Coturnix japonica: one gene and its partners. The protein of the gene in region 3 binds, or shares a complex with, the protein of the main gene of each other region. Links are inferred from orthologs where the notes say so. Each region holds a gene or a part of one and is shown on either strand. Other genes may lie near its edges. The genes, in order: DEPTOR, RICTOR, MTOR, RHEB, MLST8, MAPKAP1 and RPTOR.

The links.
Region 1: the proteins of MTOR (region 3) and DEPTOR are in contact, whole or in part, in a cryo-EM structure (PDB 7PEC), measured with the Homo sapiens proteins. The link is inferred for Coturnix japonica from reciprocal best matches to the Homo sapiens genes MTOR and DEPTOR. Residues at the interface, in NP_001373429.1 of Homo sapiens: Met304, Gly305, Phe306, His1494, Cys1498, Trp1501, Gln1525, Asp1527, Ser1528, Glu1530, Glu1531, Cys1534, Met1535, Ile1536, Arg1538, Arg1547, Gln1554, Leu1556, Leu1559, Gln1562, Cys1563, Lys1566, Arg1683, Leu1685, Asp1686, His1687, Lys1710, Ile1711, Phe1714, Gln1715; in NP_073620.2 of Homo sapiens: Arg54, His56, Leu57, Lys58, Thr59, Tyr60, Pro61, Val101, Arg116, Lys119, Asp121, Gly122, Thr123, Phe124, Lys131, Ala132, Arg135, Arg138, Lys142, Glu177, Gly178, Glu179, Glu185, Cys304, Asn305, Lys307, Gly335, Asp336, Ala337, Val338.
Region 2: the proteins of MTOR (region 3) and RICTOR are in contact, whole or in part, in a cryo-EM structure (PDB 6ZWM), measured with the Homo sapiens proteins. The link is inferred for Coturnix japonica from reciprocal best matches to the Homo sapiens genes MTOR and RICTOR. Residues at the interface, in NP_001373429.1 of Homo sapiens: Arg1028, Asp1032, Lys1068, Leu1069, Asp1108, Asp1109, Tyr1110, Asp1150, Lys1187, Asn1196, Val1200, Gln1207, Asp1210, Val1211, Cys1214, Arg1215, Lys1218, Gly1219, Tyr1220, Thr1221, Leu1222, Ala1223, Glu1226, Glu1227, Asp1228, Leu1230, Ile1231, His1234, Arg1235, Arg1238; in NP_689969.2 of Homo sapiens: Leu204, Arg205, Gly206, Asn209, Arg245, Asp247, Val248, Glu249, Glu251, Arg252, Leu254, Thr258, Asp259, Phe260, His261, Tyr262, Arg263, His264, Ser265, Pro266, Asn306, Gly308, Ser311, Gly314, Val315, Cys317, Ile318, Pro319, Glu345, Ile347.
Region 4: the proteins of MTOR (region 3) and RHEB are in contact, whole or in part, in a cryo-EM structure (PDB 6BCU), measured with the Homo sapiens proteins. The link is inferred for Coturnix japonica from reciprocal best matches to the Homo sapiens genes MTOR and RHEB. Residues at the interface, in NP_001373429.1 of Homo sapiens: Arg62, His69, Glu73, Ala101, Thr102, Ile104, Gly105, Arg106, Asn109, Tyr110, Arg112, Asn113, Phe140, Glu143, Tyr144, Phe147, Glu154, Arg160, Thr969, Gln973, Phe977, Lys980, Glu1010, Phe1011, Gln1014, Met1018, Ser1050, Thr1051, Asn1264, Lys1293; in NP_005605.1 of Homo sapiens: Lys5, Ser6, Arg7, Lys8, Arg15, Pro37, Ile39, Glu40, Thr42, Gln57, Ala62, Asp65, Tyr67, Ile69, Gln72, Thr73, Ser75, Ile76, Asp77, Asn79, Asp105, Met106, Val107, Gly108, Lys109, Val110, Ile112.
Region 5: the proteins of MTOR (region 3) and MLST8 are in contact, whole or in part, in a crystal structure (PDB 4JSV), measured with the Homo sapiens proteins. The link is inferred for Coturnix japonica from reciprocal best matches to the Homo sapiens genes MTOR and MLST8. Residues at the interface, in NP_001373429.1 of Homo sapiens: Leu2269, Arg2270, Met2271, Ala2272, Pro2273, Asp2274, His2277, Leu2278, Thr2279, Leu2280, Met2281, Gln2282, Val2284, Glu2285, Val2286, Glu2288, His2289, Asn2292, Asn2293, Glu2536; in NP_001186102.1 of Homo sapiens: Tyr20, His22, Asp42, Ser43, Gln44, Val45, Asn46, Tyr62, Asn87, Glu105, Gln148, Thr174, Arg221, Tyr222, Leu224, Ser268, Arg270, Gly271, Trp272, Trp274, Ser290, Lys313, Val316.
Region 6: MTOR (region 3) and MAPKAP1 share a complex: the UniProt entries of both Homo sapiens proteins name them as parts of the mechanistic target of rapamycin complex. The link is inferred for Coturnix japonica from reciprocal best matches to the Homo sapiens genes MTOR and MAPKAP1.
Region 7: the proteins of MTOR (region 3) and RPTOR are in contact, whole or in part, in a cryo-EM structure (PDB 6BCU), measured with the Homo sapiens proteins. The link is inferred for Coturnix japonica from reciprocal best matches to the Homo sapiens genes MTOR and RPTOR. Residues at the interface, in NP_001373429.1 of Homo sapiens: His597, Thr600, Pro632, Val644, Ser645, Gln646, Thr647, Ala648, Val649, Ala653, His686, Ala688, Gln689, Glu691, Met721, Asn722, Pro723, Ala724, Phe725, Met727, Pro728, Phe729, Arg731, Lys732, Leu734, Ile735, Leu738, Thr739, His743, Tyr771; in NP_065812.1 of Homo sapiens: Phe278, Lys282, Cys283, Ser285, Leu286, Pro288, Gln380, Ala381, Asp383, Leu384, Asp387, Glu411, Gln412, Thr414, Ala415, Val418, Trp419, Thr421, Met422, Arg427, Asn428, Glu431, Gln432, Lys973, Ile974, Asp979, Leu980, Glu981, Ser982, Lys986.

Annotation. Positions count from the first base shown.
Region 1 is NC_029517.1:123,194,282-123,198,421, forward strand, and holds the start of DEPTOR (DEP domain-containing mTOR-interacting protein), read left to right. Parts: upstream 1-1,340; 5' UTR 1,341-1,433; intron 1,434-1,713; exon of another isoform or gene 1,714-1,784; intron 1,785-1,910; 5' UTR 1,911-1,919; coding exon 1,920-2,005; intron 2,006-4,140. UniProt on the Homo sapiens protein: Negative regulator of the mTORC1 and mTORC2 complexes: inhibits the protein kinase activity of MTOR, thereby inactivating both complexes. DEPTOR inhibits mTORC1 and mTORC2 to induce autophagy.
Region 2 is NC_029547.1:11,150,918-11,153,895, forward strand, and holds part of RICTOR (rapamycin-insensitive companion of mTOR), read right to left. Parts: intron 2,623-2,978; coding exon 2,484-2,622; intron 2,314-2,483; coding exon 2,239-2,313; 3' UTR 1-2,238. UniProt on the Homo sapiens protein: Component of the mechanistic target of rapamycin complex 2 (mTORC2), which transduces signals from growth factors to pathways involved in proliferation, cytoskeletal organization, lipogenesis and anabolic output.
Region 3 is NC_029536.1:3,612,817-3,616,316, reverse strand, and holds part of MTOR (serine/threonine-protein kinase mTOR), read left to right. Parts: intron 1-130; coding exon 131-331; intron 332-675; coding exon 676-810; intron 811-1,247; coding exon 1,248-1,523; intron 1,524-1,831; coding exon 1,832-1,940; intron 1,941-2,761; coding exon 2,762-2,948; intron 2,949-3,049; coding exon 3,050-3,178; intron 3,179-3,500. UniProt on the Homo sapiens protein: Serine/threonine protein kinase which is a central regulator of cellular metabolism, growth and survival in response to hormones, growth factors, nutrients, energy and stress signals.
Region 4 is NC_029517.1:5,599,776-5,604,026, reverse strand, and holds the start of RHEB (GTP-binding protein Rheb), read left to right. Parts: upstream 1-1,451; 5' UTR 1,452-1,741; coding exon 1,742-1,793; intron 1,794-4,251. UniProt on the Homo sapiens protein: Small GTPase that acts as an allosteric activator of the canonical mTORC1 complex, an evolutionarily conserved central nutrient sensor that stimulates anabolic reactions and macromolecule biosynthesis to promote cellular biomass generation and growth.
Region 5 is NC_029529.1:6,430,075-6,434,032, forward strand, and holds the start of MLST8 (target of rapamycin complex subunit LST8), read left to right. Parts: upstream 1-1,158; coding exon 1,159-1,287; intron 1,288-1,429; coding exon 1,430-1,481; intron 1,482-1,548; coding exon 1,549-1,711; intron 1,712-1,789; coding exon 1,790-1,865; intron 1,866-3,285; coding exon 3,286-3,438; intron 3,439-3,608; coding exon 3,609-3,733; intron 3,734-3,918; coding exon 3,919-3,958. Other genes in the region: hexosaminidase D-like, read right to left, coding at 1,043-1,160.
Region 6 is NC_029532.1:8,139,174-8,142,673, reverse strand, and holds part of MAPKAP1 (target of rapamycin complex 2 subunit MAPKAP1), read left to right. Parts: intron 1-2,684; coding exon 2,685-2,822; intron 2,823-3,500. UniProt on the Homo sapiens protein: Component of the mechanistic target of rapamycin complex 2 (mTORC2), which transduces signals from growth factors to pathways involved in proliferation, cytoskeletal organization, lipogenesis and anabolic output.
Region 7 is NC_029533.1:4,901,798-4,906,006, forward strand, and holds the start of RPTOR (regulatory-associated protein of mTOR), read left to right. Parts: upstream 1-1,409; 5' UTR 1,410-1,786; coding exon 1,787-1,948; intron 1,949-4,209. UniProt on the Homo sapiens protein: Component of the mechanistic target of rapamycin complex 1 (mTORC1), an evolutionarily conserved central nutrient sensor that stimulates anabolic reactions and macromolecule biosynthesis to promote cellular biomass generation and growth.

The DNA of each region.
Region 1 (4,140 bases), on a different chromosome or scaffold from region 3:
GAAGGTGGACGGTTAGACTGGGTGATCAGTCTGGCCTGGGAGGGAGGACCAGGTCAGTTTAATCTCTTACTAGATCTCATGTTTCTATAGCAGTCTGTGCATTAAAACATACAAGCTAGAAACATCTAAACAGGTCAATTTATGTAGCATAATTCTTGCTCTTGACTCTGAAACGTGATCCTTCAGGGTTATGTCAGCTAACCATCAAGGAGAGACATCAGGTTTGGGATGATTGATACCTAATCCCTTCCCTTGAAGCACACTGTGGCTGTCAGATACTTCAGTGTGAACATGTGGAACAAATTACAAATGGGATATCAGTGTGGAAAGGCAAACATGGCAGCCTATGAGCATTAAATAATTCAGTACAGGAAATTGCACTGACCTGTGAGAATAATCTGATCTGCAAGGAAAGAAATGTGTTTCAGGCTGCAGTTCCACAAGCACACAGAGTCAAGCTGCTGCCTTGTCACTGCCGAAACACAGCTTCTTCCCCTTCTTCCCCTCCCTCTTCCTCCTCTCTATTCCTGCTCTCAGCCACCCAGGCCCACTCCACCTCTGTGTCAGCACCAAGCCCATGAGATCCAAAGCCACCTGCATGGCTCTGCTTACCGGCCCAGTCTTCCCTCCTTGGCCCAGTTTTCCTTCACTCACCACCCATTGGTCAGGGGAATTCTTTGAGACACACTGAGACATTCCCTACAGTGACTGTGCTGGGCTGGACCAGAGGTGCAGCTGGCCCAATTTTCATCTCACAAGTGGCTGTGAACAGATGCTGGGTAACAGCAGAGAAGGCACATGTGGAACTTCTTGCAAGTGCTTGCCTTGCTTCCAATTATTTTTAGCAGAGAATTTTCTCAGCTGGACGTGGCTCCTGTCTGCTTCCTAGCCCTCCTTGCACTTATTTTCCAACTACTTGTCCATTTTTCCCTTGACTCTAAGTTGTTATTATTATTACTTTAATCAAGAGCCTCCTTTAGTTATAAATACTGCAAGTCTACATGGGTTGTTTGGAGATTAACCACCTCTTTATTTTCATCCTGGTTTATACTGGGCTCAATTCCTTCATGTGATTCCTTGTTAATGCTTGTCCTTGTTCCGAAACCACAGTCATGGTCATCCAGCTACGACAATATCACAAATACGAAGCAGATGCAGTTTTCCATGCACACAGTGTGCGCAGGCAGAGAGAAGCGCAATGAGTGTGCAATCAAGGCGTACCTTGATTATGCTTTGTTGCAAATGAAAACCCTTCTCGGACCACTGCAAGAAGTGGCCTTGGACTTGTTTCCATTCTGCTGCTTTTTTCCACCAGCAGTGCTAACAAAGGGCGTTCATGACCTCGCACTTCCAATCTCAAAGACTGAATATAGAGAGAAACGCATTTCAGCCCGCAGGAATTCTGCGGTCGCCGTCGCCAAAGGGACAAAGAGGTGCGGCGGAACGGGGCAACGTGTGATAGAGGCCCCCGGGCTGCGGGGGGGATGCGCAGGGAGCCGGGCAGCGGTGCGGACAGCGCGGCCGGGGGCATCTCCGCGCACCCCATAGCCGGGGTATGGGGCAGAGCGCAGCCCCAGCAGAGCCGCTCCCGTGCCGGGGGCTGCCGGTGCCTCCCTGCCGTGTGACAGCCGGGGGGGGCCGCTGCTGCCTCGGCGAGCCGTGCCGTGGCGGCCGCAGCCATGTGTTTCTCTCCCCGCCCGTGACACAATAACACGGGAAGCGGGGCGGGTTTTGGAGGGGGTGGGGGGGGGAAGCGAACCGAAACGGCGCTCCGTCTCCTCCAGGTGAGCGCGGCGGGGGGAGGCTGCCGGTGTCCCCGGCCACGAGCGGGGGGATCGGGGCTGCAGCGGCTGCAGCTGCGGCCGGGGGCTGGAACCCGCTCCCCTCAGCTCGCTGCGCTGTGCCCGCAGGCGGCGGCGATGGAGGAGGGCATGAGCAGTATGCAGCAGAAAGCGACCGAGCTGGAGCACATGGCCGAGGTCCTGCTGACCGGCGAGCAGCTGCGGTAAGCGGTGCCATGCCCCTTCCCGGGCTGTGCTGTGGGACCGGGGTCCCGGCGAGCGGCGGGAGGGATGGGATTGAAGACGTGCCCCCTGGAAGCCGAGCGCCTGCCCCGCTGCCCGCCCGGCCCCGGCTGCTCGCAGCCCGCAGCCCCCGGACCGCTGCGATATCGCTGCGGATTGGGGATCCCCGCGGAGATAGCGGGGCTGTGCGGCGCCGAAACTGTTAATTACAACGCCTGACTCAGTTAATTTTTAATTTCTGGGATGTGCTCGGTGCGCTGTCTCAACCCATTCACTACGGAGGAGACCAGAAATTGTAAGGCTTTCGGCTTGTCGATGAACCGTGTGATTCTGGAGGAAATACCCCATTATTATTACTGTGTGTTAAATGTGTAACTAGAAAGAGAATGGAACAAGATGTGCTCAGTGGCTTTTGCTTGAATTTTCTTTGAACTTTTTGCTCAGGTGCTGGACAAGCAGTGCAGAATGGCAGCAATGTTGCTTGCTTGGGAAGGTGCCATCCCTGCTGCTTCTGCAGGCACTGACATTGGTACTGGTAGCACTGACATGGCAAGCACCGTTGGCACTGTGCAGTGCACATCAGTGATAGCCGTATTCAGGCAGTAAACATCTCTGTGGTTTGGCTCAACTACTTCACTATGCTTAAGATTCTTCGTCTGAGCAGCTTGAAGTGAAACCTGGATTGAAAGGATCTTAAAATCATTAAGGTTGCAAAGACCACTAAGATCTATTCCAGCCATCAACCCATTACACCATGCCCAGTAAACCCTTGGTGGCACATCTACAGGTTTCTTAAACACTTCCAGGGATGGTGACTCCACCACCTCACCTCCCTGGGCAGCCTGTTTAGGACACATCAGCATGCAGGCTTGGGTGCTGGGTTTGTTAAAGTGCTGACAAGACTCCTACAGCTTCCATCTCACCTCACAAAAAGCTGAATATTCAACTGTAATGCAAAATTTCTATTGAGATCTACTTAAGACCTTCTGTATTCCTTGAAGTTAAATGTAAAAACAAAAGCTTTGCAATTGTTTTCTAAGGAGAGGATGGAAGAACTTCAACAAATCTGGCTCCCACAGTCAGCTTATTACTGTCACAATCAAGGATGACACTTATAATTTCATTGAATCATTAAGGTTGGAAAAGACATCTAAGATCATCTAGTCTAGCATTGACTCACCACCACCTTGCTCTCTAAACCATGTCCCTAATTTTATTTATTAAGGTAATTAGATGTGATGCTATTTTTGGCCAAGATCATCTACAAAATAATTATTCCCCATCCTGGTCCCATGAAGTTACCTATGGGCATTCCCTGATGCGTACATCAGAAATGGCCTAGATCACCCTGGACTGGTTTGATTGCACAGCCTCCATTTACACCTAGCTACTGCAGAATAGATTTGCTTCCCTTTCCCCTTCCCATCTTGCCCATGGTTCTGTAGTCCTATGCAGTGCCAGCTCACATCCCTGCACCTTTCCATTGTGACCAGCACGCTGGTTTTGTGAGATGATGACTGCCAGCATCTCCAGAGGATGGATGGTGGGAATATGGAGCCAGAAGGAGGGAGAGGGGGTGGTGGGGAAGAAGCAGATCTCCCATTCTGGCAGTAGGGATCTGTTGGATCATGTGGAGCTGCCCTGGGAAACTGCACCCTAAGACATCTCTCTTCCCCTATCTCTGGTAGCTGCATTATGTTTCTCTGTTGTTATGCTCTATACAAGGGTTTTCCAAACGTTAACAACTGCAGAATAGATGAAGAAGACTGTCTGGTAGACAAGTTTTGGCTAACCATGCATTTAAAGTTTCCCTTTTCCTGCCCAAGATAAGTGTGTAATTGTTAATGCTAAATGAAAACACGAAGGGCTTTCAAGATCAAAGTTTGGTTATCTCAGAAGCCTCTGGGGCAGACAAACAGACGATAGAAGACCAACATGCTCGTGCATTCGAGGAAATATGCTGTACTCTTCTTAGTGATGCTTGCAAATACTAGATAAGACCTTTTGGGAGTGATGCAGCGGGACAGGTGACTGTGTGTATTTGGGTGAAAGTGCACAAAGGCAGGTGTTGCATGCTGCAAGGGGAATGCATAACTTGGGAGTAAAGTGTAAGATG
Region 2 (2,978 bases), on a different chromosome or scaffold from region 3:
TTTCTATTGCGCTTTCTACTTTAAGTGCTATGTATTAAGCTGGTAACAAATGAACACGTGTGTTTTATTTAAATAAAGGTGATAGAACTTGTTTATTTTGCTTTAACTGAGAAAAAAAAACCAACACATGGAGTTGTTTGATGTAACCCCATCTAGTTACTAAAACAAATCTCTTGTACTCTAGCCTAACTGAGGTAGTGTTTGAAACTACTGTGTAAGATACGCCAGCCCCATTTTTGGGAACATTACATTACTTCCTTTGGAGTTTACACCACTATTTGGTCTACTGTGGTTGGCATTTTGGTTTTACAGATTTCTTATAACCAGTGAAGTCCATCACTGGTGTGGTATGTTTTCAGAATATTTCAAAACATTTCTTGACACAGATACATTATGTCTGTCACTGACTACCAAATGCGTGAATTTGAAGATCTGCTCCTTCTTTCAGTGGGAACTCATGAGAAGAATCTCAGGAACTAGACTTGGCTATGAGCAGCAACTTACAGATCTGCTTTATGAGAACCTGATGGTACACAGTGCACATAAGAACTCAGTGAAGTGATATCTGCAAAGCAGTGCTTATGCGGCAAGATGAAGTTTTCAATGAAAGCAAGTACATTTTAAAATGACACTAGGATTCATGTTTTACTGCTCACAAGACAACTTACTGAAATCCCCAGTAGCATAGCTCGTAAGAATACAGTTATGAGTATCACCTATCTTATAAATTTCACTTATCTTCACTTAAGTATTAATCTGACAATTATAAAAATGGTAAAAGTGAATGGATAAAAATACGTCCTACTTAGTACAGTCCAGCTGAATTATTCACCTATATCAAAATCAAAGGGTAACCCCTTCTATTACAGTCATTCTAACAAAGGTGGCCATGCTACTGTATATATACACATTTGCATATATTTATATTACCCTTGTATGAAGGCTTCTGAATTTTTAGATGCATTATAAAAGTGATGGGACTCCTATATTTTTCTTTTCCATTAGGCTTGCACTCTTTAGAAACTTCATCAGTTTGATAGAGGCATGTGTTTTCCTCATTAACAGTCACTGTATCATAGAACTTTTGCAACAAGTCTCAAATTCCAATATAAAATTTTAAGTTCTGTCGCTACAAAGTTTGGTACTTAAGGCTTTTCACTACAATTATTAGCACTATCTGACGCTTGATCACTCATCCACTGAAAACTCAATCAAACCTTTGTTTTTATAAAAGGCTGTTTTCATGGAACTTGGAAAACCGCTCACATGCCTTCTCACAAAAGCAGCAATGATTAAATGTCTTCAAGTCTAGTTTATACAATATTCATTTATCTGATACAAATCATGCCTGTTAAAGGTTTTTAGTTAAGAATAAGACCAACATTCACACTATATGAGCATGAGCGTAGAAACTGCAAACGCATGCATATCATTCAGGGAAAACAATTTGATTTCAGCATTTTAACTTTAAATGATTTGCTATTTTTAAATCAAACTGTAGTGAAAATCCTTAACTGGTTCAGATAAGATACATGTATGTAAATGTAATGAAAATGGAGAGACTGCTAATAAAACAACTTACAACTACAGTAACATTAAAATAACTTAAAGGAACCTCAGATTCAGAGGCTTTTCTTTCTGTCTGAAGTTACAAACCCCCCAAGTAGTGTTATAAACAGTACAAAAATCAACAGAAAAGATCTAACATTTATCCCCTGCTGTCAACGATCACAGCACAGCTCCCCATTGCTGGCAACGGAATGCACCCTCATCCAACTCCTGGGGTTTTATAATAAAAAAAAAAAAAAAGAAAAAAAAAAAAAAAAAAAGGAAAAAAAAAAAAAAAAAAAAAAAAAAGCAAGGCGTAATTCTGCTTCTCCAGAACAGAATTAGAAGTCAATCATAGGTGTCTCTGTGTGTTGTTCTTTTTTTTTTTTTTTTTTTNATTTAAGGTAAAAAATGAAATGAAAACTTGTGGAGGTGTTCAGTGCTCGGCTCTTGCATATACTGATAATTACTATTATTAGAACTACATAATGTTTAATAAATCCCCAAGGGACTCCATAGACTAGGGCAGTAATTGGTTGAGGAAGAAAAAGTTTTTCAGTTCATTCTTCAGGTACCAGTAGCTTCTGGAACAGTCTAAAAGATGATGCTCCAAACTTTATTATCCAGTCAATTGGAGGATGTCTGAGAATTCCAGGAAGTCTGTATGTAATGAACTCTGTGAGACAGAGGTCAGGATTCAGCTGATATATCAGTTACTGGTTGCTTTGTTGGTGCTGCTAAAATAGCCTCCGCTTCTTCGTGCATCTGAAAGAAGTCAGGTGAAATATTAATGTCATTAGAGATTTTACAAGAATAACATCGTAAAATTATCTTTTTTAATAAAACACCTGGAAGCATTTATTATTCATTGTAATGAAACCTGTACCCAGTTGTCACGTTTTGGTTCCTTCTGATTCTCTGCACCCTCCACTTACCTGTAAGAACTGCACATCTTGAAACAGCTCCTGAATGAACCTTCTGGATGGGAGTCGAAATGTGCAATGTGCTAACAGGTAGGACACCTCAGAATACAGGCATATGTCATCAAATGCTTGAGGATACTTCTCCTTAATTCTGATCAACAGCAAAGAAAACAAACATTTTTTTTTACAAGTACTGAGAGAAGGTTTCCATAATAATCTCTAAAATTGTACAATTAAATCTTCGCTTCCATAATTAATGAACTAGAGCTCTTCAGTAATAGGCAATGTAAATTCTACATCTGACAGACAAAGAAAAAATCAGATAGCACTGTCTTATAAAACCGGAAGAAACTTGCATCAAAAAGATGAACTAGAATATTCTGTACACCTTTTGGAACAGATATCTGAGATCACCTACTCTACAGCAGATACTGAAAAATAACTGCAAAGAGGCATCCGCATGTATAGCAGTACTAAAAACTAAATAGAGAGAATACAATATTTTAT
Region 3 (3,500 bases):
GGACAGAACTGGTTACAGCTCAGGCTCCTGGGCACTAACAGTTTAAATAAAGGATGCTGCATTCTAGGTATTGAGGTTTGTGTATGGGTGCTCATTTTCACAGATTTACTGTTTCTTTCCCCACCTCCAGGTTCTTGTACTGCGTGAGTTGGCAATCAGTGTGCCTACCTTCTTCTTTCAACAAGTACAGCCGTTCTTTGACAATATTTTTGTGGCTGTGTGGGATCCCAAACAGGCCATTCGAGAAGGAGCTGTTTCTGCCTTAAGAGCCTGCCTTATCCTCACCACTCAGCGGGAACCAAAAGAAATGCAGAAACCTCAGTGGTACAGAGTAAGAAAATCACTTTATTTTGGAACAGCTGTTTTAGAAGAGTTAAGCTTTGTCTGAAGTTCAGCTTTGCTGCTGTTGTCACTTGGGTTAAGGCTTCCTAGTATCAATCACAATTTGGGTAGCGCAGCTAAATATTGTGAACTCTGCTTCCTTGTGCTCAAAAACGTGGTGCAGCTATGGATCAAGTTTGTACCATGGCTGTTTGATTAGTGCTGTAGAGAATATTCTGCAGCAGATTCTACAACTTGGAGATGATTTTTGGCTAGCAGTATGAATTACTGTTTTTCCACTGGCTTTACCTCTGTTATGATCACTGAGATTAATTTTTTTTCCTTTTCCCCAAGCATACATATGAAGAGGCTGAGAAGGGTTTTGATGAAACTTTGGCCAAGGAGAAAGGAATGAACCGTGATGACCGAATCCATGGTGCCTTATTGATCCTCAATGAGCTTGTGAGGATCAGCAGTATGGAGGGAGAGGTGAGCAAATGAGCATGATGGGGACTGTGGCTTTTGGCTACCAATCTATTGATTGACACTGGGTTGCAGCTCAGCAACCTGTGAAAATAAACCACTGTGTTTGAAATGGATTGATCTGAACATGGATCAGAGCATTGGTTGTTTCAAGTTAGATAGTGTCAGAGAAAAGACAAGTTTGGGCTGAATAGGTATCAAGCTCTGATGGAAAGTGCTATTAATTGAATTAATTATGATAGAAAAGAGTTATACAGAGTGCAGTCTCTTTTGTTTCAAATTAGATACCCAAATATTTTTTGCTGAATTTAGCTTAGTCGATGTCTTCCAGCCATTTGGATATCAATGATACAACATACTGCTTAGGAGATTTAGATAGCACTGGACTGGTTATCTTCTGGTCACCTACTTTTCTTTCAAATGTGCTTTTCTCCTTTATCCAGCGCCTTAGAGAGGAGATGGAGGAGATCACTCAGCAGCAGCTTGTGCATGACAAGTATTGCAAAGACCTGATGGGCTTTAGTACCAAACCTCGCCACATCACTCCCTTCACTAGCTTCCAGTCTCTTCAGCCTTCTCAGTCAAATGCTTTGGCTGGTCTTCTGGGTTACAACGCCCACCAAGGAATCATGGGTTTTGCAACTTCACCTGTGCCAGCAAAGTCTACATTGGTAGAAAGTCGATGCTGCAGGGATCTAATGGAAGAGAAGTTTGATCAGGTAAGTGTTCAGTCTTGCCTTTCCAAATTCACAACACAGCCTCTTGAATGTTATGGACCTCTGTGTCCTTATTAGGCAGACAATACTGCCTAATGCTGAATTGGGGCATCAAAACTCAGTAGTTCTGTGTAAGAGTGCAGTGATGTGTAACTCTCTCTGTTGGAGCAGTGGTTTAATTTGTTCATTATCTGTCTTCCTGATGGGCTCTGAAGCCAAATGTCAATAGATGCCTTAAGGTACCCAGGTAATAAGCAGTCTTGCCTTACTACCAATAGCCATCCTTCAGAGCCCAATCCATATCCTTTCAGGTGTGCCAGTGGGTTCTTAAGTGCAGAACCAGCAAAAACTCTTTGATCCAGATGACAGTTCTCAATCTCCTACCACGGCTGGCAGCTTTTCGTCCTTCAGCGTTCACAGGTGAGGAGACAAACAGCTAAATATTAGAAATGAAATTGTACTTGAAGTTACCCAGATGAGTTTGTGCAGACAATGCAGAAGTAGAAATGTGGTGCTTGGGAGACGAGCAGGCAAAATCCTCCATGCGAGTGGTGGGAGGACAGCCTTTTTTTCTGGGTAAATATGACTTGACATCTGATATTGGTGTGTTGGTCTGAGGAAGAAAATGGTTTATAGTAAGCTGTTCTCTCAGTTCTGTAATCAATACCTTAAGAAGTAGAACTTCATTTATTTTTTGTATTTGTGTGTCACGTTTAGGGCTGAGCTCTGTTCTCTTGATCACAATGAGTGTGACTTTAATACTGTGAGCAGTATTAAATTGTCTTTTTGCCAGTAAATCTGAACGTAAAGTGAGAAGTAGCTGCTGCTGCGGTTCAGCTGATTTGTCAAGCAAGCTTAGAAGAATATGTGAGTTGTAGGCATGTCATCAAACTGATCCAAGTAGGTTGGAAAATCACCATTAAGTTTCCAATCAATCACTATAAAATGAGGTACTTGTTTCAGGTTCATGTATATAATCCCTAGGCAGTGTCTTGGGCCACCTGTTGCAGTGTTCTCTAGTAGCTCTTTCATTTCTGTGGAACTTATTTTTCAAAAGAAGAAAAAGCCTTTGAGGCTGTGGGAGTTTTATTATGTAGTGACATGTTTGCCCCCACCTAGACCAGCGAATTTTATGTTGCAGGGTCCTTACCCTAATTTTCTACCTGTAAATACATAGTTACAAATTTGCTGCAACTGTATAAGCCTAAAGGACTTCCAATCTTGTTCTCTCTTGTGGGCAGCTGATCAGTATCTTCCAGACACCATGAACCATGTTCTCAGCTGCGTGAAGAAGGAGAAGGAGAGAACAGCAGCCTTCCAGGCCTTGGGTTTGCTTTCTGTGGCTGTCAGATCTGAGTTTCAAGCTTATCTGCCAAAAGTCCTTGAAATAATAAAAGCAGCTCTTCCACCAAAGGACTTTGCTCACAAGTAAGTATGCTGAAGTTAGAGGAAGAAACTGATGAGATGAGGAAAAAATGTTTGAAAAATAGCAGCTCATATTGATTAACTACTGTGTGTTCTCTTTCCAGGAGGCAGAAGTCTGTGCAGGTTGATGCTACAGTCTTCACCTGCATTAGTATGTTGGCACGAGCCATGGGACCAAGTATCCAGCAGGACATTAAAGAGCTTCTGGAACCTATGCTGGCCGTGGGTCTGAGGTAAGTATGAGGCACAGGAGCACTTTCTTCTATTAGCCACTGGATGGCATTGTTGCCCATGCAGAAGCTGATTTTGAAAGTGTTCTGGTTCTGAAGGAAGATTATTTCTTTAAATGGTTTGTAGTGTTCATTCAGAAGAGTAATATTATGTGTCTTTTGAATTACTTAAGAGCATTGGTCTCTGTAAATAAATCTTTTTGTTTTTCGATAAACTAGTGAATTCAAAGGCAATCTCCTTTACTTCCCACTGCTATTTGGCAGCAGCCCACAGAAGTTTAGAAAGCCTCTGAAGAATAGTAGATTTCTGCCATATCACGATGGC
Region 4 (4,251 bases), on a different chromosome or scaffold from region 3:
ACCTCCCACATTTAATGTTTGCTAAGGGTAACCTACAGGAGAAAATATCATTCTGAATAGCTTCATAGTACCCTTGGATCCACATCACGTGCGTTATGCAAAACAAGAATGTTCTGCAGACGATGCTTTTGTCAGTATTTCTAAGCAGACATTAGAGAAAGATGATCTTTGTCGAATCCATGAGGGGCCAGGGACAAGTGTGGGATGGAACTGAGTGTACTTTCTAACCTCAGTGGGCAGCCATACATATGGGAGCACACCCAGTGCTAACATTGGGTGCAGTTCAAATAGCTCCTCCAGTAGGTGCTGGTTGGCCAGAGGATCGAGCAGGTAATTAAAGTGCTAATTGCTTTTATAGGAACTGAATGTACAAGCCAGATGTGTTTTGCATTTGGAACTTGAGTAGCGCTGTGTCCATGGGTTCGTATGCACTGAATTGCCATAAAAACATTGAACTGCTGGGTTACGTTTCCTAGAGGAAATTCATCGCAGACACAGGCAACAAAAGGCCGATGCTTTCCCATTTCTCAGCCTCAACATCTGTTCCTGATCTCAGTGTATATACACGCTCTATTTGTGCCGGCACTCTTTGTTTTGGAACCCAGACCATTGCATTCGTTGACCGCATCTGTTGGGATGTCGTTTATAATAAAACGATTATAACTCACCAACGATTGGTTGTACTGGTGTCAGTCACTCATTGCAGCGTTCTCTGAACTCCTTTGTAGCTCACAGGGTAAAACACTCTAGGAATGAAGATGCTGGATTAGCACTGGGGAGGGGCAAAGGGGAAGCCCTATTGCTAATGCTGCTGCTGGGAAGCCACAACCTCAGCACGGCAGGAAAGCACTAAGACTTATCCCAAGTAGAAGTGCTATGATACAGGTTACTTAGCCATGGAGATCCTGTAACTCACAGGGTTATAGGGCAGGAGATCCCGTAATCCACAGGGTTATAGGGCAGGAGATCCCGTAACCCACAGGGTTGTAGGGCAGGAGATCCCGTAACCCACAGGGTTATAGGGCAGGTGGGATGGGGTCTCTGGGCGGCCTGATCTGGGGGCTGAGGTACCATTTGTGAACCATGGCAGGGCATTGCAGCTGGGTGATCTCCATGAAGCCTATAAGATGGTCCCATGGCACTAGTAGAGGTTCATGTTGAGGTTAGGACTAACTCCTTCCTGTGGAGGACAGTCACACTGAGGTGATCCCGCCCCGCTCAGCCCCTCACACCCCACAACCCAACCGCCGTCTGGAGGCGCACCACGGCGCACGCGCGGCTTTTAACCCCCATCCAACCAATCCCCTCCCACGCATCCCCTTAGCCCCGCCTCCTTTCTTTGAAAACCGATCTCATCCAATCCCCGCCCTCTAACCGCGAGCAACTGCCCAATCAGCGCCCGGCGGGGCGTGAGGTGGGCCGGCATGACGCAGCGGGTTTGTGCAGCCGGCAGTCGGCGCGGTGTTGGCGGTGGGGGCGGTCGGTCGGTCCGTGCTGCGCTGCGGCCTGTGACGCGTGACGCACCGCTACGTGAGGGGACGGGCGCTGCCGCCGCGGGTTCCGCGCTCTCGGCCCATCGATCGCCGCCGCCCTCCAACCCCCCCCCCCCCCCCCCCCCCCCCCCATAACAACAACCAGCGCCGCATGAGGCTGACGGCGCACACGCAGCCTCCCGCCGCCCTCCGCCTCTTCTTCGTCCGCCTCCTCCCTTGATGTGGTTCGTGGCCGGGCGGGGGACAAGATGCCGCCGTCCAAATCCCGTAAGATCGCGATCCTGGGCTACAGGAGCGTAGGTGAGTGTTAAGGGGGGGGAGACGAAATGGGAACGGGTGGGTGGGTGGGTGGCAGGTGCAGGGCTGGGCCGGGCCCCGCGCAGTGCGGCCGGGAGGCGCCATGGCGGCGCCGCAGAGCGCTGCGGGCCCGGGAGCCAACGTGAGACTGTGCCCTTAATTGGACAGGGGACGGCACCGGGACGGGGGGGGGGAACAGCGGGGTGTACGGAGCTTTGTGCCCGTTTCCTCTGTCTGTAGACGTGTAGGATGAACGTACGGAGCGCTGCGGTGCCGGGATCGGGAGTGACTGAGTGGTGCGGTCGATACGGTGGAGGGAACGGGTGACATTCAGAGGGACCTCGACAGGCTGGAAAGCTGGGCTCGGGGGTTATGTTGAACCTAATGAGGTTCAACACTGTTTTGCAGTTGGGCAGGAAGAACCCCAGGCACCTGTACAGGCTGGGAGGAGTTGTCCTTGAGAGCAGCTCGGCAGAGAAGGACCTGGGGGTCCTGATGGACGAGAGACTCAACATGAGCCAGCAGTGCGCTCTGGCAGCCCGGAAAGCAAATGGGATCCTGGGCTCCATCAGGAGAGGGGTGGTCAGCAGGGATAGGGAGGTGATCGTCCCTCTCTACTCGGCTCTTGTGAGGCTCCATCTGTTGTACTGTGTCCAGGTGTGGAGCCCTCAGTACAAAAAAGACATGGGAGATTTTGGAAAGGGTCCAGAGGAGGGACAGGAAGATGATCAGGGGGCTGGAGCACCTCCCCTATGAGGACAGGCTGAGGGAGTTGGGTTTGTTCAGCCTGGAGAAGAGAAGGTTGCGGGGTGACCTCATTGCAGCCTTTCAATACCTGAAGGGAACTTACACCCAGGAGGGGAGTAAACTCTTGGAAAGGGCTGACAATAGCAGGACACGGGGAAATGGTTTTAAGTTAAAAGAGGGAAGATTTAGGTTGGATGTTAGGGGGAAGTTCTTCACTAGGAGAGTGGTTAGGCCATGGAACAGGCTGCCCAGGGAGGTTGTGGATGCCCCGTCCTGGGAGGTGTTCAAGACCAGGTTGGACGGGGCCCTGGGCAACCTGATCTAGTAAAGGTGTATGTTTGGTGGCCCTGCCAGGCAGGGGGGTTGGAACTACATGATCCTTGAGGTCCCTTCCAACCCGGGTCATTCTGTGATTCTGTGATCGTACGGCAACACTGAAGGAAAGAACTTCCCGGCGCCATCCAAGCCGGGAGCTGCTCTACAGCCCCACCAGATTCAGCGTCGTGGGGCACGAATGGAGCGGTGCGGCTCGGCATCGATCTGACTTAAAAGCGTAGATCGATGGGAAGGATAACGAGTGGCTGGGAAATAAACTGCTGTAGGAAGGTGCCGCTGTGCTGCTGAAGGGTTTGTGCTGTGAGTGGTGTGTCTGCGGTCGCACACTCAGCATCCGTAACAACGCCTTTTGCTTTTCCCAAGATTAAAAAAGGTTACATGAGTTGTTTAGATGCTGTGTGTGTAGCAGCAGCCTGGCTTCAAGGCTGGATAAACAGTGCTGTGTCTGTATGGTGCTGGAAGGGAGCAGCCTGCAGGAGGTTGGTGGTTCACATGGGGTGTCTAATACGGCACAGTCAGCCTCGGAGCTTGTCTCCTTATGTTTTCTTCTCCGAGTCCGGACTCAAACAAGCACTGGGCAGTGTGTGTGGGTAGGAGGAACGCTGTCAATTCAGTACATTGGATGGTCCAGGGGTAGATGATCCATTGAGCCTGACAGCACACATTGCACATAGCCATTATTAATGCCATTGCTGGTGTGACCCAGGATGATTTGGTGCTTGTATAGAAGGAGGTGAGCAGAAAGTTGCCTCCTGCCCATTAGGGTTTACTACTGTGCTCCTTCACCTGCAGCTTCATGAGACTGATGTGGTTTGGGGCTCTGTGGGACATGGTCTGTTCCATTAGGACAACTGCTTGTTGTAGACATACAGAAGAGAAGTAATAGTTTGCCTTTCATTAACCATGACAACTCTGTTGCCTTGCTTGTTCTTAGGTATAAATCTTGCATGTTTAAGCCACAGAGTTAAGTATGGGAGCTTTACGTTTCTAGGCAAATATTTACATAAAAGATCCAGCAATAGACGTGAGCTGTTGGGTGTTCTGTCATGTAGGGCTGTCAGATAAACAAGAAACATAGAGCATGACATGAAGTCAACCCAAGGATGCCTTGCAAAGTCCAGGAGAATTAACAGCATGGTTTGGCTTCAGATAGACTTATAGGTAAGTCTGATATCACGATGGCATGAATTCCACTTGAACCCTGGGTAAAAGACAGGATCCCATCCCAGATGAAATAAGGGATGTTACATTTGAACAGAGCTAGTTTTTGTCGGGGTGGGGGATAATTAATTCCAAGATCTGAAGGGCTGCTGAAGGCTTCTGAGCTTCCTTTTATAAATAGGGAACTGCCATTAACCTTAACGTTAGCTTTGACCCT
Region 5 (3,958 bases), on a different chromosome or scaffold from region 3:
ATCCCATCCCTGCAGCATTTCCATCCCGCCCGGCGATGGATGTGTCAGCCCTCGTGGGAGGAGCTGTGCGGGTGCGGGAGGGTATGGGGCTCTGAGAGCGGTATGGGGAGCTCAGCACCCCCTGGCCGCAGGAAGGCCGTTCATAGACAGAGCGCTAATTGCACTGCCATGGCAACACAGCGCCTGATCAGAGCGGGGATAAATATTTGGACAGACGCTGTCAGCTCGCCAAGACCGGGCGTTTTTAATATCCGTTATCTAACTCGAATAGAGCGCAGGTTGCCCGGATCAGACCCTGCCGGTGCCGGGCTGCAGCACCGATGGCAGCAGCGGCTCCCTCCCATGGCTGAGCGCATCTCGGGGCCGTGTCCCGCTCCCCCGCAGCGCCCGGCCCCGTTCCCCTCTTACCTCCCGGAGCCGCTCAGCGCAATGCCCGGCCGTCCCGCCGCCGTTGCCATGCGGAGCCCACGCTGCCGCAGCGCGGCGGTGCGTGCGGGGGCGGCCGCGTGGAGCCCAGCCCACACCCCCGCTCCCGGAGCATCCCCGCGATTCAGCCCCGGTACCGCCGCGCCCGGTCGGTCCCGCTCCCCCGGGACAGGGACGCACCGGCCGCCCCAGGGAACGGCTGCGCCTCCCGGTGCGGTACCGCATGGCGGCCCCGGTACTAAAGGACAGCCCCAGCCCCCGGAGCGCCCCTTACCGGCAGGTGCGGTACCGGGCGGGCACCCCCCGGGCGCGGGTACGAGCACTGCCCCACGGCCGCCACCGCCGCTCTTAAAGGGCCCGACAGCAGCGCTGCACCGGCACGGCGGGACTCTGCTGCGAGCTGGCTCAGTGCCCTGCCGGCCCTGGGACGTGTGTGCCCTATTTGTGCCCTATTTGTGCCCTATTTGTGCCCTATTTGTGCCCCGTGTGCCCGCACCCCGTGTCCCGGTACCCGCACCCCACACCCCCATCAATCCCCAGCCCCCTGCCCCGCTCCGCTCGGTGCGGCCGTTCCCATCACAGCGCCCCCTGGCGGCGATGTCGGGATGTGACTCACTCAGCGCTGACAGCGCCCCGCAGTCCCGCCTCACCGCCGCTGCTCTCTGCGCATGCTCCTTTGACATCACCGACCCGCTTGCGCAGAGCCCGTACCGGCTCCGCGGTGCCGCCGCCATGAACGCGGCTCAGGGCACGGTGGGCAGCGACCCCGTTATCTTGGCCACGGCCGGGTACGACCACACGGTGCGATTCTGGCAGGCGCACAGCGGCATCTGCACCCGCACCGTGCAGCACCAGGACTCCGTATCCTGCACCGGGACCGGCGTGAGGGGGGAGGCCCCGGTGTAACGGGGGGGGGGGGTCCCAGCTTAAGGGGGGGGCCCGGTGTAGGTGGTGGGGTCTCGGTGTGGTCTCGGTGTCATACAGCCCTTAGCACTGCTGGCAGCAGGTGAACGCCCTGGAGATCACTCCTGACCGCAGCATGATCGCAGCCGCAGGTGAGCCCCGGGGTGTTTGGGGTCGCTGGGTGCCCCTGGTATTTCTGAGCTCCATTCGCTGCCATAGGGTATCAACACATCCGTATGTACGACCTCAACTCCAACAACCCCAACCCCGTCATCAATTACGATGGTGTGAGCAAGAACATCACGTCCGTGGGCTTCCACGAGGATGGGCGCTGGATGTATACGGGTGGGGAGGACTGCATGGCACGGATATGGGACCTCAGGTGAGCGCGGGGTCTGCTGCAGGGAGAACATTCCTCCGCAGGCTCGTGTGGGCTCATTCGGTCTCTTTTTTGTTGCAGGTCTCGTAACCTGCAGTGCCAGCGGATCTTCCAAGTCAATGCTCCCATTAACTGTGTCTGCCTGCACCCCAACCAGGTACACTGATTGTCACTGGCCTTCCTGGAAAAGGTGATGCTCCCTCAAATGCTTGGCAGTCTGGAGCATTGCTCAGCCCATGGTCTTGGTTGCATGGACCCCTCGGCTCTTGGTGGCTTTGCAGCTGCACGTCCATGTATTCCCTTGCAGAGCAGCTGCTGCATGACCAGGCTTGGTGCAGGCAGAGTGTGGCCCTGCCCCTGCCTTTGCTGCTTCTTGTCAGGGAACAAACATCCTCAAGCAGGGCTGGCAGCCAGCAGATGTCTCTGGCTTCTGTCTTGCTCATACTGCACCTGCAGCAAGCATCAGCATCCATGCTGGAACCATCAGGTTTTTGCTGAGCATCTTTGTGCTAGTTACCTGCTGGCTGTTGGACACAAGCAGTGCTACCAGTAGAAAAAAGCAGAGGCCAACAGCCCCAGTAAGGTCTGTGGTGTCTTCAGGGTTTGCTGGAGATCCACCACTCAGTTCAAAAGCTGTCAGAGAGGTCACTTGGGTTAAAGAAATGGAGCTAATGGGGATGATGGGGATGCATTAGTGGGCATGGTGGTGAAATCGATGCGTATCATTGCAGTGTTAATAACGCATCTGATCCATTCTTTATCCATGGTGCTGCAGGGTGGGAGCTGCAGACAAAGCAGCATAAGGTTGGTTTTTTCTCAAAGCAAATCTTTTAAAAAATATGAATAATAGAAATGTTTCTTTGCTTTTGATTTCTGTAAAAACTCAGTATTACAAATACTGAGTTCTGGACTAAATGTGAGATTGGTCATTTGGAACTGACTTCAGCCAAATGTTGCTGCTGCTGCACCATGAGACTCAGAATGTGTTGCATTAAAACAAATACTGTGCATAAATCATGTGTGTGAGATAATCACTTTGTGTTACTGTAGAAGCAATGGCTTGTGAGCAGGACAGTTAGTTAGCCCAGAGGTGGCAGTATTTAATCAGATAGATCCACAGTATGGACAGGGTGAAGCTGCTTATTCTCAGAGAGGGATTTCTCATGGCCTGGGTAAAGCCACGGCTGTGTTAGAATTGTATTTGCAGATGCTGCTAAGAGTGGGCTAGGAGGTGTCCAGGAGATGCCTCTGCACTACACAGTCAGCTAAATATATCAAGGGATGATTGTCTTCTCCTGAAGCAAGCCGTGGGTCACAGGTACAGGATTAGCTGCATCTGATGACCTGATCTCCTCTAGGGATTCTGCTAAAATTATGGACAGTGTAAGTCTGTCGATAAAAAGCCGTGGTTTTAATGGAGTGCTGCCAGCATTGTCTGCTGCTTTGAGCAGCAGGGATTGGAGCCAGAGCTGCTGCCCTTCAGCTGGCTCCTGTCCTTACCCTCCTGGAGCAGGAGAGACAGAGAAAAACCCACTTAGGCTTGTGTTCTTCAGGTACCTGTCACTATTTTCTTGCAGGCTGAGCTAATTGTGGGTGACCAGAGCGGGGCCATTCACATCTGGGACCTGAAAACAGACCACAATGAGCAGCTGATTCCAGAGCCTGAAGTCTCCGTGAACTCTGTGCACATTGACCCTGATGCCAGCTACATGGCAGCTGTCAACAGCTCGGTGAGCTTGGGCATGAGATGGGATTTGCAGTGCTGGGTTGTCCTTGTGGGGCAAAAGCAGCCAGTTTCTATGCACTATAGAGTTTTGCTGTGCTATGATGGGACACAGAGTCTAGGCTGCTTTTGGCTGAGGTCCACAGAGCCAGTCATAGACGTCCCATCTCCTTGCAGGGAAACTGCTACGTGTGGAACCTGACGGGTGGCATTGGAGAGGAGGTAACCCAGCTGATCCCCAAGACCAAGATCCCAGCACACAACCGTTATGCCCTGCAATGCAAGTTCAGCCCTGACTCCACGTGAGTGTGCTCCTCCACCAGATCAGTTCAGCTTGAATCTTGTAAGGCAGATGATATGGGGTAAAGAAATCTGATTACTAAATACGCAGGGCTTCAGTTCATTATTGTGCCAGGCCTGCATTAATGAGGCCTTTACATGTACAGCATAACTAATAAGATTACCTATGCGTGTGTTATCCTTGCAGGCTCTTGGCTACCTGTTCTGCAGATCAGACATGTAAGATC
Region 6 (3,500 bases), on a different chromosome or scaffold from region 3:
ACTCACAGTAGTGCTCCCAACATTTTTAGCAAGGTGCAGTCATGTTGTGAAGGCATAAGACAAATTTGCTTGTGCTCCATGTTAGCAAAATGAAAAGAAGCACGTTGTCATAGAAAGCTGCTGCCAAAAAGCATTTCAGTGGGGCAGGGGCATCGCAGAGCCAGCAAGGGGAGTGGGGGCAGAGCAGCATTACTGGAGTACTGCAGCTGTGACATTTCTGCTGCTAAATTGAATGAATTTTAAAAATCCTAGAAGAGGTATTTTTGCTTATTTTCTGAGTATAATAAATTTGCGCTGCGATAGAGTCTGTAGAAGCCACATACATAATGCTGTTTTGATTTTAGGTTTCAACGCGCACAGATTGCAAGAACAATAACACAAAAAAGACAGCATTCTTTGTCAATGTGCTCTTTGGATGTGTGTGAGCTTAAGCCAGTGATGTCGAGATACAGAAATAATGGATGAAGTATACAGCAACAATTTGCAGATAAAAATAATAGAAGTTAAAGTGTATTTTACATGATAAAAAAAAGATGAAAGAGGAGGAAGTCTGTTACATCTGAGACGGTAACAAAATCCATGCTTGGTGAAGTAGCCTCTGCTGAAAAGATTGATGCAATGGGGAGTGACCTTGGCTTGGAGCAGGAGCTGGTGATGTATGTATGAGCATCTCTCTGCTAAATGGACCCAGATTTGTAGCACTAATATACATGGAAGCCCAGAACCAAACTCAGGATGGCAATAAATCAACAGCCACTTTGGGTGTCATTTCTGGTTTATATTCCACTATTGTTCTATCACTTTAATTCATGTCACTATCATCTGTTCATCTGGAACAGTTTTATATAATTTTCCAGTGGAGTTACCTGACAAATCCTATCAAATTAACAAGGTACGTTAACAATATTGACTGACTGTGAATGCTGAAGTTGCAGGACCATGCTGTGAAATTTTTAAAGGATATTTTTGAGGAGTGACTTTTTCTAAAGGAAGGGCTGGGGAGCATCCGTTGTGCACAAAGAATTTGCACTTTTATTCCTAGAACTTGCCTTGACTTTTTTATTATGTCATCAATTTCATGTATTTTGATTAAGTTACAGGAAACAATAATGAATAATCAATTACTGTGAGATAACAAAACTGATTTTAATTTATGTGTCCGAAATTACATTGCAAAACAAAGTGGGCTCCAGACAGAGTCAGCCTGCTCCCATTACCTAGTTCCAACAGTCCTTGTATTAATTGGACTCTTGATACAGTGCTTAATTGAAATGTGGTATCTTTGATGTGACGTATGCTTAATGACAAAGTGCATTCTTGGATTAATAGAAGCAGGGAGGGAGTCAGTGGCATTGTTACCACCTGTCTCAGCAGCCAGGGGTAAAGTGAAGGTTACCCTGTGTTCAGTGGAAAGGACAGCAGCAAGAAGGCTGCTGCAAGCATGCATTGTTTGCTATGTGTGCTTTCATTTTAGGTGCATAAAGTACTGACAAAGGTGATTTGCAAGTTCTGCAGCACTGTGCTTTTAGAAACACTGACTTTGTTTTTGAGGGTTGAGACAGTTATGACTGTGGCATCCAATGCTTATTTGTTCGCACCTCTTAGAGGTTTTATAATCAGCTTTTCTCCTGCTTCAGACAGACCAAATGCAGTGTATTCAAAAGCATCATAGCCAAAGCCCCTGAAAAGGAGAATGTTCTCTGCCATTTTTCCAAAGATGCAAGAGTAAACCGAAGTTCATTTACCCTTTGTTGCTTCCTTTTTTTCTGCTGTACCGTGAGCTTCACCTGGAAGCTGTGACTTTAAGAGGCTGAAGTTTGTTCTGTCCCATCAGCAGACAATGAACAGTGAGCTCCTGCCCAGCAGCGCAGTGCAGCAGTGCCATGACAAAGCCTGCAGTAAATGCAATGAACACTCTATGCAGGCTGCAGCTCCCCGTTAGCATCCCACTGCACAAACACTGCTTACAGGAGCTCAGGAGACATACGGAGAGGCAATAGTGTAGGAATGCTCTACACTCTGTCCCCAAAGGGCTGCAGCAGGATGCTGTGTGTGGAGGCACATACCTGTGTGCAGTGGGAGTGCAACCCAGCCATCTAAGCTGGCTGTGTGGGGCCAGGGGCTCCCCAGCTCCCAGTCTGTGATCACTGCAGCCTCATCAGAGCTGGCTGCAAAATGCTGGTGTTGTAAAATTTGTGGGATCTCTGGTGCCTTTGTTTGTGGGTATCTGGTTACCACAAAGAGCACTTCTGTTATACTAAAACACATATTGTCCTTGTGTAGAACATGTTGTATGTGTGCTGCCCAGGAGATGTAATAGTGACGTGTGATGGTGTCTCTCACATATAGTAGTGATGACTGAAAATGTATCTTCATATACATCCTGCAGTTCATGTAGGTGCTGCTTCCAGAAGAGCTCTGTGTGTGCTGAGAAGAAATTTTCCTGTGATTTTTTTTTTCTCATTGGGATGCTTATTTCCCAACAAGGCAGGAGAATAAAATACAGATTATCAATGCACTTTGATAATCATTTGCTTTTGGTTTCAAAAGCTCCTGTGCTTTCAAAAAGCCCAGAAGGGCAATATACTTTCATCCCATTTAAGATTTATAAAGTGTGTCAAATGGCTGATATGAAATCACTTAAACAGATCACTATTGTGGCTCTCTATTCTTTCTCATCTCAGGTATTTCTGGAGACAAGGTAGAGATAGACCCTGTTACTAATCAGAAGGCCAGCACTAAGTTTTGGATTAAGCAGAAACCCATTTCAATCGATTCTGAACTCCTCTGTGCCTGTGACCTTGTGGAAGAAAAGAGCCCAAGTGAGTAGTCCTTTTTATTTATGTCCTTTCTCCTCTCCCTCTCTCAGTGTGCTGGATGCCCAGAGAATTATTGCTGCCATGTCCTTTCCTTTTATAGGTGTATTTTATTCATTATAGAATGTTTTTAATCTGACTTGATTCTGTTGTAGGGAACATAACACAAACAGATGCACGTTTTATGAGTGTCCTTTTAATGCTGTTTGTAGCCAGTGGTGTTTTAAAGTTTCCTGCCCGCTGTCCGTAGCCGCCAGCAGTGCCGCACCAAGGAATCACTGGGTAGGCTGCAGCTCAGGAGTCACACACCCATTTCCACATCTTTGTGATATCTTTGAACTTCTTAACATCTGGAAAGGCTCTGAACAATTCCTCAGACACATGAGGATCTCAGACATGCAGAGAGTATCAGTCTGAAATCGCTTCCATTGTGGCTGCAGGGTCAGTTTTGATTCAGGAAGGTGGTAGGGCAGGCAGTTGCCGGAGCGCTCCTGTATGGAGGAGTCACTGGGCAGAGGGCAGAGCCAGGGAGCTCAGTGCTGTTTATTGTGTCCATGGAGCAATGAGAGTCCATATTCCTAAAACTCATTGTAAAAGGAACAAGATAAGCCCTAGGAGAATGGGACAGTGTCTCCTGGTGGCGTCAAAACGTAACTATCCACTGTCAAAAAGTAACTGAGATTC
Region 7 (4,209 bases), on a different chromosome or scaffold from region 3:
TGGTCAGTTTGCAAGTTCACTGTCACTAACACTAAATGTTAAGTTCTTTTCATCATGCATTATATATATATATATATTATAATTTATTATTTATATATATATATATATATATAATATATATGTATTTAACGTGGAGATTGTCACCCCACCTGTTTTGGGCGCTGTCAGCAGAGCAGTGTCCCCTTGTGGGAGGTTCCTGGGGAGAAGCTCATGTATGGGCTGGGTTGGGGGTCCCAGGTCTGATTGGAAATGGGGTGTGTGGCACTTGCACATCATGGACAAGCAGGCAGTGATGTCCCAGCCCCTCCTGCATGTGCAGGCTGTGTCTCGTGGCTGCAGGCACTCGCAGTGTTTCACCATCTGTGGAGCCACAGAAGGCTCACAGGGAGCCTTGCCAGGTCCCTGTTTTCCAGCAGGGTATGTCTCTGATGCTCCCCAGCTCTTCTGCAGTGTCCCCTGTGATGAAGCCTAAGTGCCAGAGGTAGTCAAAGCTCCATCCTGAATCACTGCACAGAGCCTGGAGGAACGTTTGTTGTGTGAGCTGTGAGATGAGTGGGGCATGCAGCTGTTCCCTTGGGAGAGGGGCCATCAAATAAAGGGGTAGAGAGCAGGGAACACACAGCTTTCCCAGCACAGGCCATGGGATCAGGGCAAACACCTGGCCTGGCTTTTAACCAGCCACTGCTTGCAAGCTTTGCTGATGTGAATAGAGGGACATCTGTGCTCGCTGTCCTCCACCAGCTGTGCCCTTCAGAGGTATTTGCACTCCTGGGCCACTCAGCATCATGCTCTGTCAGGACAGGCACTGGTACATTGCTCCTAATGCTGTCGGCAGCCAGGATTAGCAGCAGCACGGCCGTGAGGTCCATCTGCACTGTGTATGGATGCTGCAATCACTGCTCCCATTCTGATCGCTGCTGTCAGTGCTGGAGGTGAGCAGGGCTGCAGCTGTTCCTTATGGCAGATGCTGTGGCACCATGAAATGCTGAACCACATGAGTTGTTCACACACTGCCTTGTCCAGCCAGGAGAACGGATTGTGCATATCGAGTGTGAATGTAAAGAAGATGGGTTGTGCCTATAGGGTGTCTGTGAATGTAAAGAAGCTGAAAGCATCACTGGAAGTTAATATAAATCAAATTACGTGTGTTTGCTTTGATAACTCATGTTTTTGCTCATAGCTCTCGGATGTTATCAACGTGAATGTGGTTTGTTAGTGATGAGAGTGAAGGCACTGAAGAACTGCATTGAGAGCGATGTTTGGTGGCCCTGCTAGGCAGGGGGGTTGGAACTACATGATCCTTGAGGTCCCTTCCAACCCGGGTCATTCTGTGATTCTGTGATGTTAATGGACTTAATTAATTAATTAATGTGCAACCGCAGTCGGCGCTGTTTGTCCCACTCGGCGCTCCGTAGCACGGTGTATTGTGGGCCGGAGAAGATGGCCGCCTCCTGGCCGCGCTGCTAAGCGGAGTCGCGCTGCCGGCGCTGCAGGTCGCTTCTTCCCTCCTCTCTCCGCCTCCCCCTCCTGCCTCGTCTCTCACCGATCCCTCGGTCCCGAGGGAACGCGGAGCCGCCATGGGCCGGACGCGGCTCCCTCCCCGAGGCCCGCGGGGGTAAAGGAACGAGGGGAGGCCCAGGCCCCCCCCCGGCAGCTGAGCGCTCCTTGGGGCCGTGCTCTGCCCTTGGCCGCCCTCGGGTTGATCCGCCGCTTTGTGCCCGCTGTGACCCCTCCGCCAGCCGGGCCGGGGGCTGCCGCTCCATCAGTGCCCGGAGCTCCCGCCCCGATGGAGTCCGAGCTGCTGCAGTCTCCCCTTTTGGGGTTGGGGGAGGAGGATGAGTCGGATCTGACGGATTGGAACCTGCCCCTGGCCTTCATGAAGAAGAGACACTGCGAGAAGATCGAGGGATCCAAGTCCTTGGCGCAGAGCTGGAGGATGAAGGACCGGGTAATGGCTGAAGGAGGGAGGGGGTGGGCAGGGAGGGAGGGAGGAGGTCTGCTCGTCCCCCATTAGGGCTGTGGGCATTCATCCTGATGGGGTAACATGGTTTCCATGTCTGCATGGTGCTGGGGCTGCAGGCCATGGAACAGGCTGCCCAGGGAGGTTGTGGATGCCCCGTCCTTGGAGGTGTTCAAGACCAGGTTGGACGGGGCCATGGGCAACCTGATCTAGTAAAGGTGTATGTTTGGTGGCCCTGCCAGGCAGGGGGGTTGGAACTACATGATCCTTAAGGTCCCTTCCAACCCGGGTCATTCTGTGTGATTCATTCTGTGTGCCGGCAGGTGAGAGACAGAGAGAGCTTTGTTGGGTTCTGTCCAACTCAGGAGATACTATGACAAATATGTATCACAGCAACACACTGAATATCTCCCTCGTTTGAGCTCTGTAAGTGGAGTTTGATGCTCTTCAGTGAAGGCAATGAAATTAGTGAGGTCTCACAGGGCGCTGTGGATCAGCAGGTAACAGCACGAGGTGCAATGAATGCAGTCGTTACGCTTGTTTGGTGGTGAAGGTGCAGGAAGTGTTGTGGTTTTTGAAGTTTGCCAGCAGCGTGTTATGTGCAATGTAAAATTAAGGTGTTCTTTGTGTGTGTTTGAGAGACAGGAAACAGCTCATGTGAATCTGGAGACAGAGGACAATTATTAGATGAAACATTTGCAGTGTTATAGAACGGTGGCTCTTATGTTAGAATTTGTATTGTATATAAGAGTGATGGGCATCTGATGGGATGTCATCAATCCAGAGCAGTGTCTGTGTTCCAACTTAAGTTAAAAACAAATAGGTAGACATACAAAACACCAGAGAAACATAGAGGATAATCAGCTTCAGTCCTACAGTTCATTGAATGTGCTTTGGGTCAGAGGATTCTTGGGGTCTCATGGTTGCGATACTCATATATATTTGTATATGGCTGTATGTGGTTTTGTGTGTGACCAGATTTCTGTTACATTTCCACTTCCTTTAGTAATACTCTGACCTCAGCTTGGAATCTGCAGATGAAACTCATTCCTTTAATTTCTTTCCAGAGACATTATGACTGGGAATGAGGATGCTGTACATTCATTTCCTAGAGAGGCATTCACCCAAACAGCTCTGCAGAGTGTTGGGGAAGCAGTGGCAGAGCCAGGATCATCTGAGTGATTATGTACTGAAAATTTGACTTGGCAGATCATTAATGGACTGAATTAATTTTTTGTTTAGAGTCTAATTTAGATGAGCCACAGGACACAGTTTTGTAGGTATGCCTCCTTTAAAGGCTTTTGGCATGGAAGCTGTTTGCTCTACTAGACTGTGGAGGTGGGATGAGATTACTTGTCTATTTTAGTGATCCTTCTGCCTTCCTGTGGATCTTCCTGTTTGCTTGTTCGATGATGTGCAGAGCTGTCTGTTTCTAAATTGGGAATGTCATTGGCTTGATAATCAATAGGTTACAGCACGAGCATGAGTAAAGAGGTAGTAGTAATCAGTTGTATTTGTTATAGTGCATTTCATACATACAAAGGGAATCATCTCAGTGAGGAGCAGAGCAGTGGTTACAGCATTATGCGCCTGTGGGGTTGCAGTTTCTTTCTCTTGGAGTACTCTGCATGTCTCACAAAGCTCAGCAATTCAGACCCAGCATTCATCCTTATGCAGACTGAGACTAATTTCTGTGAAATAAGAAAGTCGAAGCATGTCAGAATGTTTCTGATTATTCCTTCTGTTTTTGCTGTGAGCTTGAAACAACTTCTCAGAAGTGCTTGTCACTGTGTATTTGGACAGCTTTATTTGCTCTCATTTGGACAAGTTTGCCATTCTGTGCAATTACCTCTTGCTGAAGAACACTACTTTCTTCCCTTCCTCCTGAATTCACGTTACTGCTGGGTTATGCTCTCTGGTTTTATAAAGAATTCCTCTCATCGTCTCATAGCTGATTTCAGAAGGTTGCTTCTATCTGTGGAGCATTGCAGCACAGTGAGGAGAAGTTGGTGTTATGGCCCTGAGTCAGCATTGGAGGCCTCTGACACCTGTCTACAGTTGCTAATCAAACTAAAACCAACATGTAACTGTCTCTGTCTGAGTGCTACTTTGTCACACTCTCCTGGTTTGTTGTTTCCCTTCCTGGTCCTCGCCACCTTCTTCCCATCTGATTCACCTCTGCTGTGCTTTTCTCTCTCCCAGATTCTACTGAAAGACTCAGAGAGGGCTGGAGGGGTTGTACCTGTTAT